Linked DNA regions of Solanum lycopersicum. The main gene of each other region encodes a partner of the protein of the gene in region 2 in a complex. Links are inferred from orthologs where the notes say so. Each region holds a gene or a part of one and is shown on either strand. Other genes may lie near its edges. The genes, in order: mitotic spindle checkpoint protein BUBR1, mitotic spindle checkpoint protein MAD1 and mitotic spindle checkpoint protein MAD2.

What was found.
Region 1: mitotic spindle checkpoint protein MAD1 (region 2) and mitotic spindle checkpoint protein BUBR1 share a complex: the UniProt entries of both Arabidopsis thaliana proteins name them as parts of the mitotic checkpoint complex. The link is inferred for Solanum lycopersicum from reciprocal best matches to the Arabidopsis thaliana genes MAD1 and BUBR1.
Region 3: mitotic spindle checkpoint protein MAD1 (region 2) and mitotic spindle checkpoint protein MAD2 share a complex: the UniProt entries of both Arabidopsis thaliana proteins name them as parts of the mitotic checkpoint complex. The link is inferred for Solanum lycopersicum from reciprocal best matches to the Arabidopsis thaliana genes MAD1 and MAD2.

The regions. Positions count from the first base shown.
Region 1 is NC_090803.1:68,279,396-68,283,747, forward strand, and holds the start of mitotic spindle checkpoint protein BUBR1, read right to left. Parts: upstream 2,883-4,352; 5' UTR 2,692-2,882; coding exon 2,492-2,691; intron 2,317-2,491; coding exon 2,257-2,316; intron 2,134-2,256; coding exon 1,989-2,133; intron 1,895-1,988; coding exon 1,737-1,894; intron 1-1,736. UniProt on the Arabidopsis thaliana protein: Essential component of the mitotic checkpoint. Required for normal mitosis progression. The mitotic checkpoint delays anaphase until all chromosomes are properly attached to the mitotic spindle.
Region 2 is NC_090800.1:87,722,397-87,726,589, forward strand, and holds the start of mitotic spindle checkpoint protein MAD1, read right to left. Parts: upstream 2,912-4,193; 5' UTR 2,669-2,911; coding exon 2,489-2,668; intron 1,646-2,488; coding exon 1,546-1,645; intron 913-1,545; coding exon 752-912; intron 1-751. UniProt on the Arabidopsis thaliana protein: Required for the execution of the mitotic checkpoint which monitors the process of kinetochore-spindle attachment and delays the onset of anaphase when this process is not complete.
Region 3 is NC_090804.1:8,537,786-8,541,678, forward strand, and holds mitotic spindle checkpoint protein MAD2, read right to left. Parts: upstream 2,533-3,893; 5' UTR 2,351-2,532; coding exon 2,262-2,350; intron 1,807-2,261; coding exon 1,676-1,806; intron 1,583-1,675; coding exon 1,462-1,582; intron 1,262-1,461; coding exon 1,158-1,261; intron 1,055-1,157; coding exon 933-1,054; intron 848-932; coding exon 788-847; 3' UTR 588-787; downstream 1-587. UniProt on the Arabidopsis thaliana protein: Required for the execution of the mitotic checkpoint which monitors the process of kinetochore-spindle attachment and delays the onset of anaphase when this process is not complete.

The DNA.
Region 1 (4,352 bases), on a different chromosome or scaffold from region 2:
CGGAAATTTTAATCATAAACCAGCTGAGGGAGTCAGTAAATAGGCTTATAAGTGGATGAGAACAAGCAGGAGGAAGGTTACTTGGTGTAATCAGTGTTCTGTACTTGTATTAACTGTATCTCTAATGGAAAAGACTCATTAGTGGCTAAGAAAGCTTGAAAAAAGAGCATCCACAATCTTGTTGAGGCAGCCCAAGGGGTCGTTTAGTTGTTGGTTAGATTATTCATATATTAAAATCTGCATAAACTAGTACCATTTTTGGCAGCATTTTAGTTGCTATGTATAAAACTCAGCACATCAAGTATGGTTTTTTGCTTACGGTTTACAATCTCACATAACTAAAACATGTACTAGTTAGGCGTCAATCTATGTATTATTTTATGCAGCTTTGAAGATGGTATAACTAATACATGAATTAGTAATACGTAAATAATTGAACCCTACATAACTAATACCTGCACAACTCTATCCAACAACCAAACTACCCCCAAAGGTATTTAGGTGTCAGGTAATATCTAAAACCAATTGAGCATCCACAATAATATCATGCCAAATATATTAGAATTTTCACCTTGCTGTAGCATTATTCTGCCAGCAAGTTTGGCCAGCATCATAGCATTCACATCCCCATCAGAAGTTAAAACAAGTAGAGAGAGAATATAAAAGGTCCCTCAAGAATGAGGCAAATGTGAACAAGAAATAAATATTTCAATATATTCTTATGTCAACAGTTGATAGCTAGAGCATTTTATTAGAAACACATACAGAGACTTGCTGTTTTGAAGGCATGAAATGCTCTTAGTAGAAAATCATGCTATACAAGTTACAAACAACATGATTAGGTTGTGTAATTAAGCAAAGTTCAATGAACAGTGGCACTGGCTATTTTGCATGCTGCCATACCTGAAATATCTATATTAGCTAAATAAATGATTAATTCCAGAGCACAAATTTCTCAATGATAACGTCTCTGTTGTTCATCCTGTACAAATGCTTAACATAATTGTGTGACATGGTACTATCTGATTCAATTGATGCCTATAAAGGAACCAATCATTTCATAATTCAAAAAGATACATGTAGTTCTTCATAATCATATTACTCGGCTTATACAAAATTTCCTTAATAAGGATATCAAATATGTTCATCATATGGCAATTAATAATTATAAAGTTTTCTAGAAGCATACCACTGTCATACGATCACGGCCTTTAGTTTATTATTCGGTCACATGAGCATATATTGAAAGAACATAAAATAAGGGACCGTAAGCAATGTAATCTACCACAGTTCTGACCTCTGAGCTTATCAAATGAAATTGTCTTAGTATTCAAGGTATGAAAATTAGTAGGTCAATATGAAGGGGACACCACATACTTATCCGTGCAGCTTCATACTTAACACTGAACTCATTTTGGCGAAGCTTCAAACATAAATCCCCTCCCCCCCCCCCCCCCAGCCCCCACACATTACTCAATACTAGCATACAATTAATGCAACTTTCGTAGACATCATTAGACTTGACATATCAAACGCTATTTGAACAAAAATATCAGACAGCAATTCAATAAACCATTTGAATGATGCATCTCACATCATAGACAACATATAGCATAACTTCTCTGGAACCAAGACGTGTTCACTTGCCTAGTGTGAAGTGAAACACAATGTTAACTATGCAAGAACCTAACTTTACGGCTAAAATTAAACCAAGGCTCAATGGAAACACAACTTACATAGATAGCCCCCGATTGAAGATCTCGTTTGCTGTTTTAATTTTATTTTGAGATTCCATGTGCAAAGCATAGGCTATGTAGAATGAAGAATGTGTCAGTCCAATTTTGTTAGCCTCCAGAAAGCTATAAATGACTTCAGCATCCATACAATTTTCAGCCTGCAAAGAGCCATCAATAAGAAAACTGATTTACCAAATTGCATGATGAGAAGATTTAGGGGCAAAAGAATGGATGTGGAGAAATCAAACTCACATATTCCAGCCACACTTTCAAGTAACGGAGGTCATTCTTATATAGTTCATCGTGCCAAAAGGTGCGGACACATTGTTCATAAATAACTATAAGTCCAGAACTGTCCCCACCGGGAGGGAAAGCCTCTTGCACCCACTTGATGCACCTTCACAATTTTAATGTAAAATTATGTCAGCAGTTTATTCAATAACAGAGATTGACTCATTAAATGCTAGTAGAAGATATAAGAGTTGAAAAATTATTTGCATCTGAAAAGAAGAGCACTCACTGGAGCCATGGGTGAAGAGGATCTTCACCTTTGTACTTGTCAATTGCTTCAATAAATTCCCTAATCAGAAAGAGTTGAATTCAAAAATTAATAAGGGATGCAGCAACTGCTACTATTCTACAACTAGCGTGTACATCTTAATCAAAATCTAGTGCGGGATGGAATAGTAATTGCATTTTGGACCAACCTCAGGAGTAAATGTCATGAAAATGCAAAGAAGAAGAAATAGAGGAACCTTCGTTTGTCAAGAAGAGATTTCTTGAGTTGATAATCGGTACTAGACTTAAGAGCATTATTGAGAAGATTAACGTTGCGTCCTCTCTTCAAAGGTCTGACATTTTCCTTGAAGAGTTCCCACTCGTGACCAGTCTCTTGCTTCGACGCTAAGAACTCTGCCTCCTTATCCAATACGTAATCTCCTCCTACCTTCTCCATTTCTTCTTCTTGCTGCTTCCTTGTGGTGGTGTTTTTTTGAGAGCCTTCTTTCAAATTTGAAATTGTTTTGTGCCCTAAACCCTTCCTTTCATAGCCGTTGGACCCTCCTTTAAATTCCAGATTTTCGCAATATTATTGGTCCCACCATGATTGAATATAAGATAAGTAATGTTTTTTAACGAGTGCGCTACTACAAACAACAAAGTGGGCCAAGTACATCGAATTTAGACCGTTGGAATTTACCCGGAAATTAATAATATGACCTATTAGTAAAATATTTAATTCAATTTAATTCAAATTTAGAGATTTAGTTTATGTGACAATGAAATCTTATTTGCAATCAATCTGATATTCACATAATATTTAACAATTTTCATCAATAAGAAGATATTTTTAATCTAATAGTTTGACGGGAATGATAGTTTTGAGCCGAAATATAGTTTAAGGATAAATATGAGCTATTTCGAATAGTTTAAGGGTATTTTTTACCCCTTTTCCATTTATTCTATGTGGCAGTAGAACCAAATTGACATGGAATGTGACATCCACATGACATTTAACAAATTCCGTTAATAAGAAATATATTTTTGACCCAATAGTATTATGGGAAGGATAGTTTTGAACTGAAATATAGTTTAAACGTAAATATGAGTTATTTCAGATAGTTTATGAATATTTATGAGTCTTTTTCGTTAAAATAATAATTAATCAATATTATTTATTGACTAGTGGTTAATTATAAAAATAATACAAATTTATAATTTCAAACATTTATTTTTTAAAAAATACAAAGATTAAGTTATTAAAAATACATTAGAGATGGCAATGCGGTGGTGTAGGGTGGGGTGTTGCGGGTTGAGCTTAACCCGCAAAAATTTTAATCTGCCGCGCCTCGCCGCGCCCTGCATGACAACTCTTTTCATTTTCAACCTGCCTCCCATAATTTTTTTAATATTTTCTTTTTCTAATTATATTTGATACTAAGATAAAATTCATAAAAATAAATTTATCTTTTCATTAAGTTGTATTAATTTAATAGGATAGTAATTTAAAATTTAGGCCAAATACAGAAGCAGATCCCTAAACTTGTTAGGTTTTTTTCCTCAGGTACCTTAACTACGTCATTTTCCTATTGAATAATTGAACTCCCATAATTTGTTCTGTTTAATCAAACACTGTTGTCTGATGTGAAATCAGATTTGTGAGGGGTATTGATAGAGGATACATATGTTGTTCCACAAATAATTAGTCCAATTGAAAGTGAAAATGTTTGAGAATAATTATGTTTTACTTGAGTCATTTGAACACATTAGAAAACAAATGAGACTAACACAGTTAGTCTTCATTCCTTCAATCAAAATTATTACAATTCGAACACAATTGAAGACATTTACAATAGAAAAGCTGATCAAAATCAACCAACAGTGTTTTAAAGAAACAAATTATGGGTGGTTGAATGATTCAATTGAAAAATGACGTAGTTGAGGTACATGAGGGGAAAAACCCAACAAGTTTAGGGATTTGTTTATGTAGTTGGCCTAAAAATTATTTTTAAGAGGTCAACTGGGAAATTGGTAAGAAATTTTATTATTTTTATTAAACCATTTTTATTTATTATTTTAAATATTTTAGTAGCTTAAAAGAAATTATCTTAATAAATA
Region 2 (4,193 bases):
TTATAACTTGAAAATTATGGTCCCTGCTACTTTTTATTTCAGTTGGAAAGAAAAAAAATGTAATAAAGTTTAAGATGCAGTCTAATCAGATTAAGATAGTGTCTGACTCGCTTCTTACAGAGTCCATGTTCAGTCTTGGTTGGTTCCAAGACTTTTGCAGGGTAAATGCGATGACTCCAGTTGTTTTGGAGCACAGAGTGCAAAAATTGGCTTGGTTTCAAGATGTAGAATCTAAGAAGGATCTCATTTGATATATATTCAAAGTGATTTATAAGTGGAAACTGCTTATTATCCTCAACAACAACATACCCAATATAGTCCCACAAGTGGGTTTCCTCTCCAGATCACTTATACACGGGCTATTCAGAGGAAGGGGTTGAGTGTTTTCAATATGATTTTTTTCTTGTATTTGTTCAATGAGAAATGCTAATTTGTTTCGTCCCCTTACGTCATCCCCCTCTATCAAAATGATCGAAAAGGAAAGCGAGATTGCTTCTTATTCCCATTTGATCTCTTCCATCTGTGTGTCTAAGAATTCCTTGTCAAAAAGAGAGTGTAGTCTCTTCCTAGGCATAAATTATCACACTTACCAAACCAAATTGCCTTAAAGTTAAGTTCAATTTACAGATTAGACCAAATTATTGATGAACTCATACAGCAGCTTAAAAACATGCCAGCCAAAGAGAACCCATTAATTCTTCTCAAGAATGTGACATAAATATAATGAGAAATGACAATTAACATCTAGCACCTCAAGTTCATTGTACAACTGCAACTGTTTTCTGAGCCGTTCATGAGAAACGTTGACCTCCTTCATTAGCTGGTCCTGCAGAGCCTCTTCACGCCCTTTAGCAGCAGCTAGTTCTTGCTCTGCATTGAGAAATTGATCACGAAATTTCTTCCTTTCAGCATCTGCACGTGTAATTCATGTCATCATGCAAATTAATCAATAAGTATTGGAGTATACTTTGCAGAAAAGGTGAATTACAAACCAAATAGTCATTATCCCTCCAGTGGAGTAAAGGGTCAGTGGTGAACAGAGAGAAAAAAATACAAAGGAAATTAACAAAAGAAAAATAAAAGGCATGACAGTTGCTACAAAGGAGTCAACACATGATTAAGGAGACAAAAGATATGAAGACAAATAATATCACTCCAATATGTGTATGAATGGATGTATGTTTGTGTGTATCTATATATGTATGCCTGTATCCATTTATGTAAACACGTGTGTGTATGTTGGAAAGTTACTTCAGTGAAGTTGCCAGTTCTCACATATAAATTTTGAAATAAAGAAGACAGCCTTTTAACAATTGAAATCAGGGGAGCAATTGAACTGTACAAACAAGATTAGCTTAGCCAAGGAACAATTGTAGTGTGCTCTATAGATGTCTCTATCAAAGAATCTTCATTCTCTGGTGTAAAAGTGCATTAAATTGAGCAGTAGAAGGTAAACTTTTAAAAAAGTTTGTTGAAAGGACAAGGAGAAACAAAATCATGTACCCAGTCTATCATAATTCACAGAATTGGATATTTATCACTCACCAGCTTTAAGATAATCATTGTTTAGTGCTTCAAGTTTCGATTGGTTATCACGAGCTTGCTTTTCTGCACTGCTTAAGGCATCAAAAAACTCTGACTTCACCTGATAACAGAATTTGTTTTATATAGATATAAGCAAACTCGTGCAGGCTATCACAAGAACTGAGTACAATAAATAGACAGGGAGCCGTTGATCGGTCATTGGCCAATATAAGAGACACAAGAATGTTAACTTAAAGGAATATATTATTTAACTCAGAGGTCTTCCATCATCTTCTGTGACGCTATCCAAATGTGCTAACCAAGATTAGCTCAATTTGAGTCCATTTAAGATGCAATTATAAGTTGTTCTTTAGTGAAGTAAGTACATTTGTGTTATCAAAAAAGATGAAGTAGATTGTGTTAATGGAGGGCATAAAACACCTGTATGCAAGTAGTATACAGAAAACTAGCAAACAATGTTCTAATTAATTTATATAAAAAAATCTTGCTTGTGATTAGTTCATTGTGAAGAAGCTCAGCCTCAAGTTGACTCAAGAATCAACTACGAATTGGTATACACATCTAAGAGCAAATTCTATCAACATATGAATAAACTTTGAATATAAAGCTCATCAAGGAATCAACCCAAGTTCGAAAAACCATTCTCTTAACATGGATTAATTAGCACTCCAGTAGCAATAAAATCACAGACATGTTTAGTCTGGGAAAATCTCATTAGGTGGACAAAGCGAAAAAACTGAAACAGTCAAGGGAATGGGTGCACCTACTATCTTCATCTCAAGATATATACATAAATAGTTGCAATTTCCACTACCACATAAGAAGAAAAATAGGTATAAGCCTCACTATGTCTGCAGTCACTGATTTAAAACCTTGAATTTACTAAAAAATCAATTCAATACTGGAATTGTAATGAAGAGAGTGGGAATTAATGAATGAATACCATTTGGCGGCATTGATAAGTGCAGAGCATTTGTTCGGAAGATTCTGGGTGATGGTGAGATGATTCCGGCAACGGTGTATCCTCGAAGATGACAAGCTGCTGATTGCCGGAGCTGGGACTTCCATCTTCCGGTTGATTGCTCTGCGCCTTTCGCTTGAATGGTGGTGTTCTCAGGATCATAATACTAGGGTTTTGATAACTTCTACAGTAATTGAATCAAGCTCCGATGATGGCGATTGATGAAAATGTAAGAGGCGAAGCAGCTACTGCAAGTGTTTCGAAAACTGAGGCGCCAATTGGTGAATCGGACCCAAATAATCCGTCGCCAGAGATGACCCGAATCCCTTTGGGCTACTGCTACACTTGTTTGGGTCATTCCCACAAATGTCCTTATTTTGGGCCTCTCACTAATTTTTGCTCTTCAAAATAGGAGTAATATTTAATATCTTTATTTTTGAGTAACACTCACGTGTAACAAACATAAAATTCATATTGGCTTATTATAGGCTTACAGCTATAGTTTGCATAATTAAGATCCATAGCAAATATAAATATGTATATTTCGTTATACATATACAAAAAAAAAACAGATGTATAATTTGCTATACACATACAAACAAAACAGTTGTTAATTCGTTATACATATACAAAAGAAAACAGTTGTATACAAAAGATCAATTATATAATTGGTGTATGTATAAAACGAGAAATGGAGAAAAGCAAAAAAAGCTGGGTAGGAAAATATTTATATTGTATAATTATAAGTGTATATACATTTACACGTGTATATACAATTTTCTATCGCTTTATACAAACAGAAACGTAATTTATACATTTCGTTTCTGTTTGTATAAGGAGAGAGGCGAGCGAGATCTGGGAGAGTGGCGAGCGAGATATGGGAGAGTGGAGAGCGAGATATGGAAGAGGAGAGAGAGGAAAACGAAAATATACGTATATATACAATTTCCTGGCGATTTATACAAACACAAACGCATTTTATACATTTGTGTTTGTATAAAAAGCAAGAGAGGTGAGTGAGACTGCCACCAAACGAGAGTGGCGAGCGAGATCCACCAAGTAAAGAGGCGAAAATAACAATAGTTTGCTATAGGGCACAATTAAATCGAAGCTTGTTTACAACATTTAATTTGAATTAATAACTTGCTATTTTATACAATTTCCTTTATTTTTTAGAGCGTAAAAAATGAAAAACGAGATATAAGTTCAGTTAAAGCTATATCCTAGAACAATAATTTAGTAACACAAATTATGATCCCAAGACCCCATTAAAAAAAAAAACTCAAAGACACAAGTTATGCTTCAGTGGCTCAAATTAGAAATCCAAATATCAGATATTATAAAATTTATACTTCAATCTAAACACTCTCTAAAAAAATTTGCCTTTGTGATATTAGTTTTGCCCAACAAATTTAGGTCACAATTTAAAGTACTTATTAGGTCCACAAATTTTCATTAAATAGACAATAAAGGCAAAAATTAAAGACCATAAATTTAATGGACAAAAAATTAATATCATCCCAAAACAAAGGTATTCTATGCAAAAACTTTAACTTGTTGTAAGCATAAGATAATTAACCACTAAAAATAAGCACATGAGACTAACTAATAAAACAAGTGCTTAAAAACTTTTTTTTTTTATTTACTTGTACACTACAAAAGTGTTAAAGAAAATTATTTCAACTTA
Region 3 (3,893 bases), on a different chromosome or scaffold from region 2:
ATAACATCAAAGATTTATTTCTTCTTCTTCTTCTTCTTATTGTTATTATTTCATCCACTTCCCAAAATAATACAGAGATGTAATGACTATCAAAAATGGAAGACTTTAGCCATCCAAGGATCCGTGGCGCAATGGTAGCGCGTCTGACTCCAGATCAGAAGGTTGCGTGTTCGATTCACGTCGGGTTCAAATTTCCCGATTCATGAGGATCCAAATTTTTTTATTACTTTCTTATTTTATTAGACTAAAAACACTATAATTTATGTGCAATCCGTTAACTTCGACAAAAAGATCATGACATTAATTGATTATTTATTTTTAACGGCATGATAACTTTGTATGTAAGAATAAAAAAGGCACACTGATCTTCTTCCCCCGTTACCTCTCTTTTTTAGAGAATGTTGAAGGCAAATTTCAAAAGTCAAAAAAAGTATTTATTTTCTCCGTTCAAGAAATTGCCTGCGTAGTTGGGGGAGACGGAAGAAAGAAAAAAACCAAAATTTCAACATAATTTGAGTTGCGTATAAATCCAAGCCGACGCAAACAACATTATTATGTGCTATGGCAATGTGTAGACAACAAGGACGTGTAAAAAAGTACCCAAATATATTTCACAAGGCAAAAAACATGTTCACACGGAGAAATTGATCTAATTGTTCAATTTCCTTCAATACTCATTCAGGATACAAACTAATAGATGTTTCAAGGTTTACACAATCTAACATACAAAATGTGAATCAATGATTCACAATGACAACAAAAGTAAGGTACAACAAGGATCCATGGTCTAGGACTCATCCCATTCATCATCATTCTTATATGAAACCAATGTGTCAACCTTATGAATCTGCATAGAGAAAACAAAACTCGAGTTAGGGTCACCGAAATATCCAGGGGATTCGTATCAGAATCAAGCAGCAAATTGCTCCTACCTTAGTGTCAAAAGAGTGCAGTTTCACCATTTGTGGATTCGCAATCAGTTTAGGGTCACTCTCAATCCAAGTGAATGGAACTGCAACATCCATATCAGTGTATGCTAACACATCAAACACACCTACAGCCATACACACAAATGAAACAAGAAATCTCATCAAGAAACATCCCAAAAAAGCAACATTGCCATTGTATCGTAACATCCAAGCACAAATGATGCTTACATGGTTCCTCAAGGCACGGCAAATAAGTGATGCTGGACGCTATTTGCCTCATAATCGCTTGAATTTCCCTCATTATTTCTTTATCACTTTTCTCTCTTGAAACACTGGAAAATCAAATAAACCATTTAGCTAATTATTTAACAAACAATCCAACATACGAAGACATCAAAAGCAAGCCAGGGTTGAGTATTTGGCTCTGGACTATTTAAGCACACGAACGAAATTATAGGTCTTCTGCCATAATAACTCCAACATACACTTCTTTCAATCCACAATTATTAACCAAAGATGATTAACATCTTACCCTTTCTGGACAACCTCACTATCAGTTTCGATACTGAAATTCCACCTTTCTAATACCTCACCAGAGGCCTTACTCATGATGACAAGAACCACCCTTTGTAGCTTTCCAGTTTCCAACCACTCTACATGAACAAAATCGTTAAGAAAACAATCATTTCACTACCTAATATATGATCTGAACCAATCTACAGCCTCGTCAAAATTCTACAACTTACCAGCAAGTTGGGCAGTCAAGTTGGAAACAAAGGTCTTGACACCTTCATCTTCAGTAAGCAACATTGTGAGACCATATTTCTTCACTTTCTTAAAACTTTCTTCAGGATATACTCCTCTGTTGTACAAAATGCTAAATACATAATCCCCGCACAAATTCAAAAAAAAAAAATCAGCATTCAGACAAAACCATAAACAACGAACATAAAAGGAATTAATCAATCAACAATGGCCGATGGCCAACGTAAAACTAATTGGAATCAGTCAGATAAATCAATTCATCCGCTCTATTGTAGCCCATTTTAGTCCAATGCAGGTAAATAAACGAAGAACACAAAGCATTTTATTCAATCAATCGGAAAATCAACAACGTATCGATTGATGAAATCTATTCAATCCAATTTCATTACTAATCTGCTCAAACCCAATTTCATTGGGCTGAATTTCAGGTTGATAATTAATTTTCAAAGCAAATTTAGGGGTTTTGTGAAATCTATCTAAATCTGAGATCCGATCACTATGTGAACAACGTGCAAGTCTACATAACCAAAATTTGATATGAAAAAAACAGGAATTCCGAGTTGTTACCTGTTTGCAGCATAGCCAAAATATTCACTGACGATTGCGGCGGAACCACGAAGTGTGATTATGTCTTTGGAGGCTGTTCTTGACGCCATTTTCAGATTAGGAAATAGAAGTAGAAAAATGGTTATGGAGATTGATTGCTTGTGAGAGAATCAGAGATGAATTTAGGGTTTTTATGAGAATTGAGAAACATAGTGGAAGAAGCAACGGCTAGTTTTTGGAAATGACACAAAACAACGGTCAGATGGGTTTAGTGCAAAAATTGGGCCACACTGAAAATTTATAACTTATATAAGTATAGTTTATATAATTATATCTTATGAGTATAATTTAGTTTGCTATGGAGCATTTAATTTGCATATTAAGTTTTTTTTGTTTATAATTTATAAGGAAAATACATAAGTATCCCCAGACTATAACTGAAATTCTAGAGACACACCTTAACTAAATTAACTTCCTATTATCCCTGAACTTTTTTTTTTGTAATTTTGAGCACTTTTTGTCTTATATAATTATATTTTACGAGTATAATTTAGTTTGCTATGGAGCATTTAATTTGCATATTAAGTTTTTTTTGTTTATAATTTATGAGGAAAATGCATAAGTATCCCCAGACTATAACTGGAATTCTAGAGACACACCTTAATTAAATTAACTTCCTATTACCCCTGAACTTTTTTTTTTGTAATTTTGAGCACTTTTTGTCTTATGTGGCACACTTCGTGGCTCCACGCGATTGAGACACGTACGAGATATTTGAATGTCACGTAAGCTAAAAAGGTGCACAAAGTTACAAAAAATAAGTGTAAGGGGAGGGGGTGGAGGTAATAGGACCTTATTTAGTTAAGGTGTTTCTCTGTGATTTCAGACATAGTATAGGAGGGTACTTGTGCAATTTTTCATAATTTATGTAATATTCTACTTAATAAATGGATACATGAACGGTAATAAGGTAACAAAATACTTGCATAATCCCATGATTCAAGTTAATCTTTCAAATCAAATATTTTTTCAAAAAGAGTTCTATAACAATACAAACATCATAACAATTGTTATCCTCGTACCACAAAAGCAAATATAAAATGAAAAATTCATGGTTCGTCAATATTCTTGTATATTTTTCTTTTAAGAAAACTTCATGTTTTAAAGTGTGAAAAAGAATAAGATTGATTTGCATAGTATATAATTGAAATTTTTAAAATTGCAAGTAGTTATATTTGGTCATAAAAATATAAACAAATTGTATATTAACAATTCTATTCTAATTGTTGGTTAAAAAAATCGAGTAATGTTATATGTATGAGTTGTATATGTATACCACTGCATGTGGGGGGCGTATTTTCGTGGTTATTTGCAAATGAAAATAAATCCCTATGAAAACGATAAAAAGTATATGTCAATATGTAAATCGAATATTTATACAATTAATTAATATTTTCAATTATATACGTTACACATATAAACTATTTGTATAAATAAGAACTATTTATGGTTGTATATAACTATAAACTCTATATGTATATGGTTGTATATAACTATAAACTCTATATGTATATAATTATGTGTACATTAATATAGTACTTAAATATACAGAAATATACATATTATACCTCAAATATTTTTTTGTATATAACT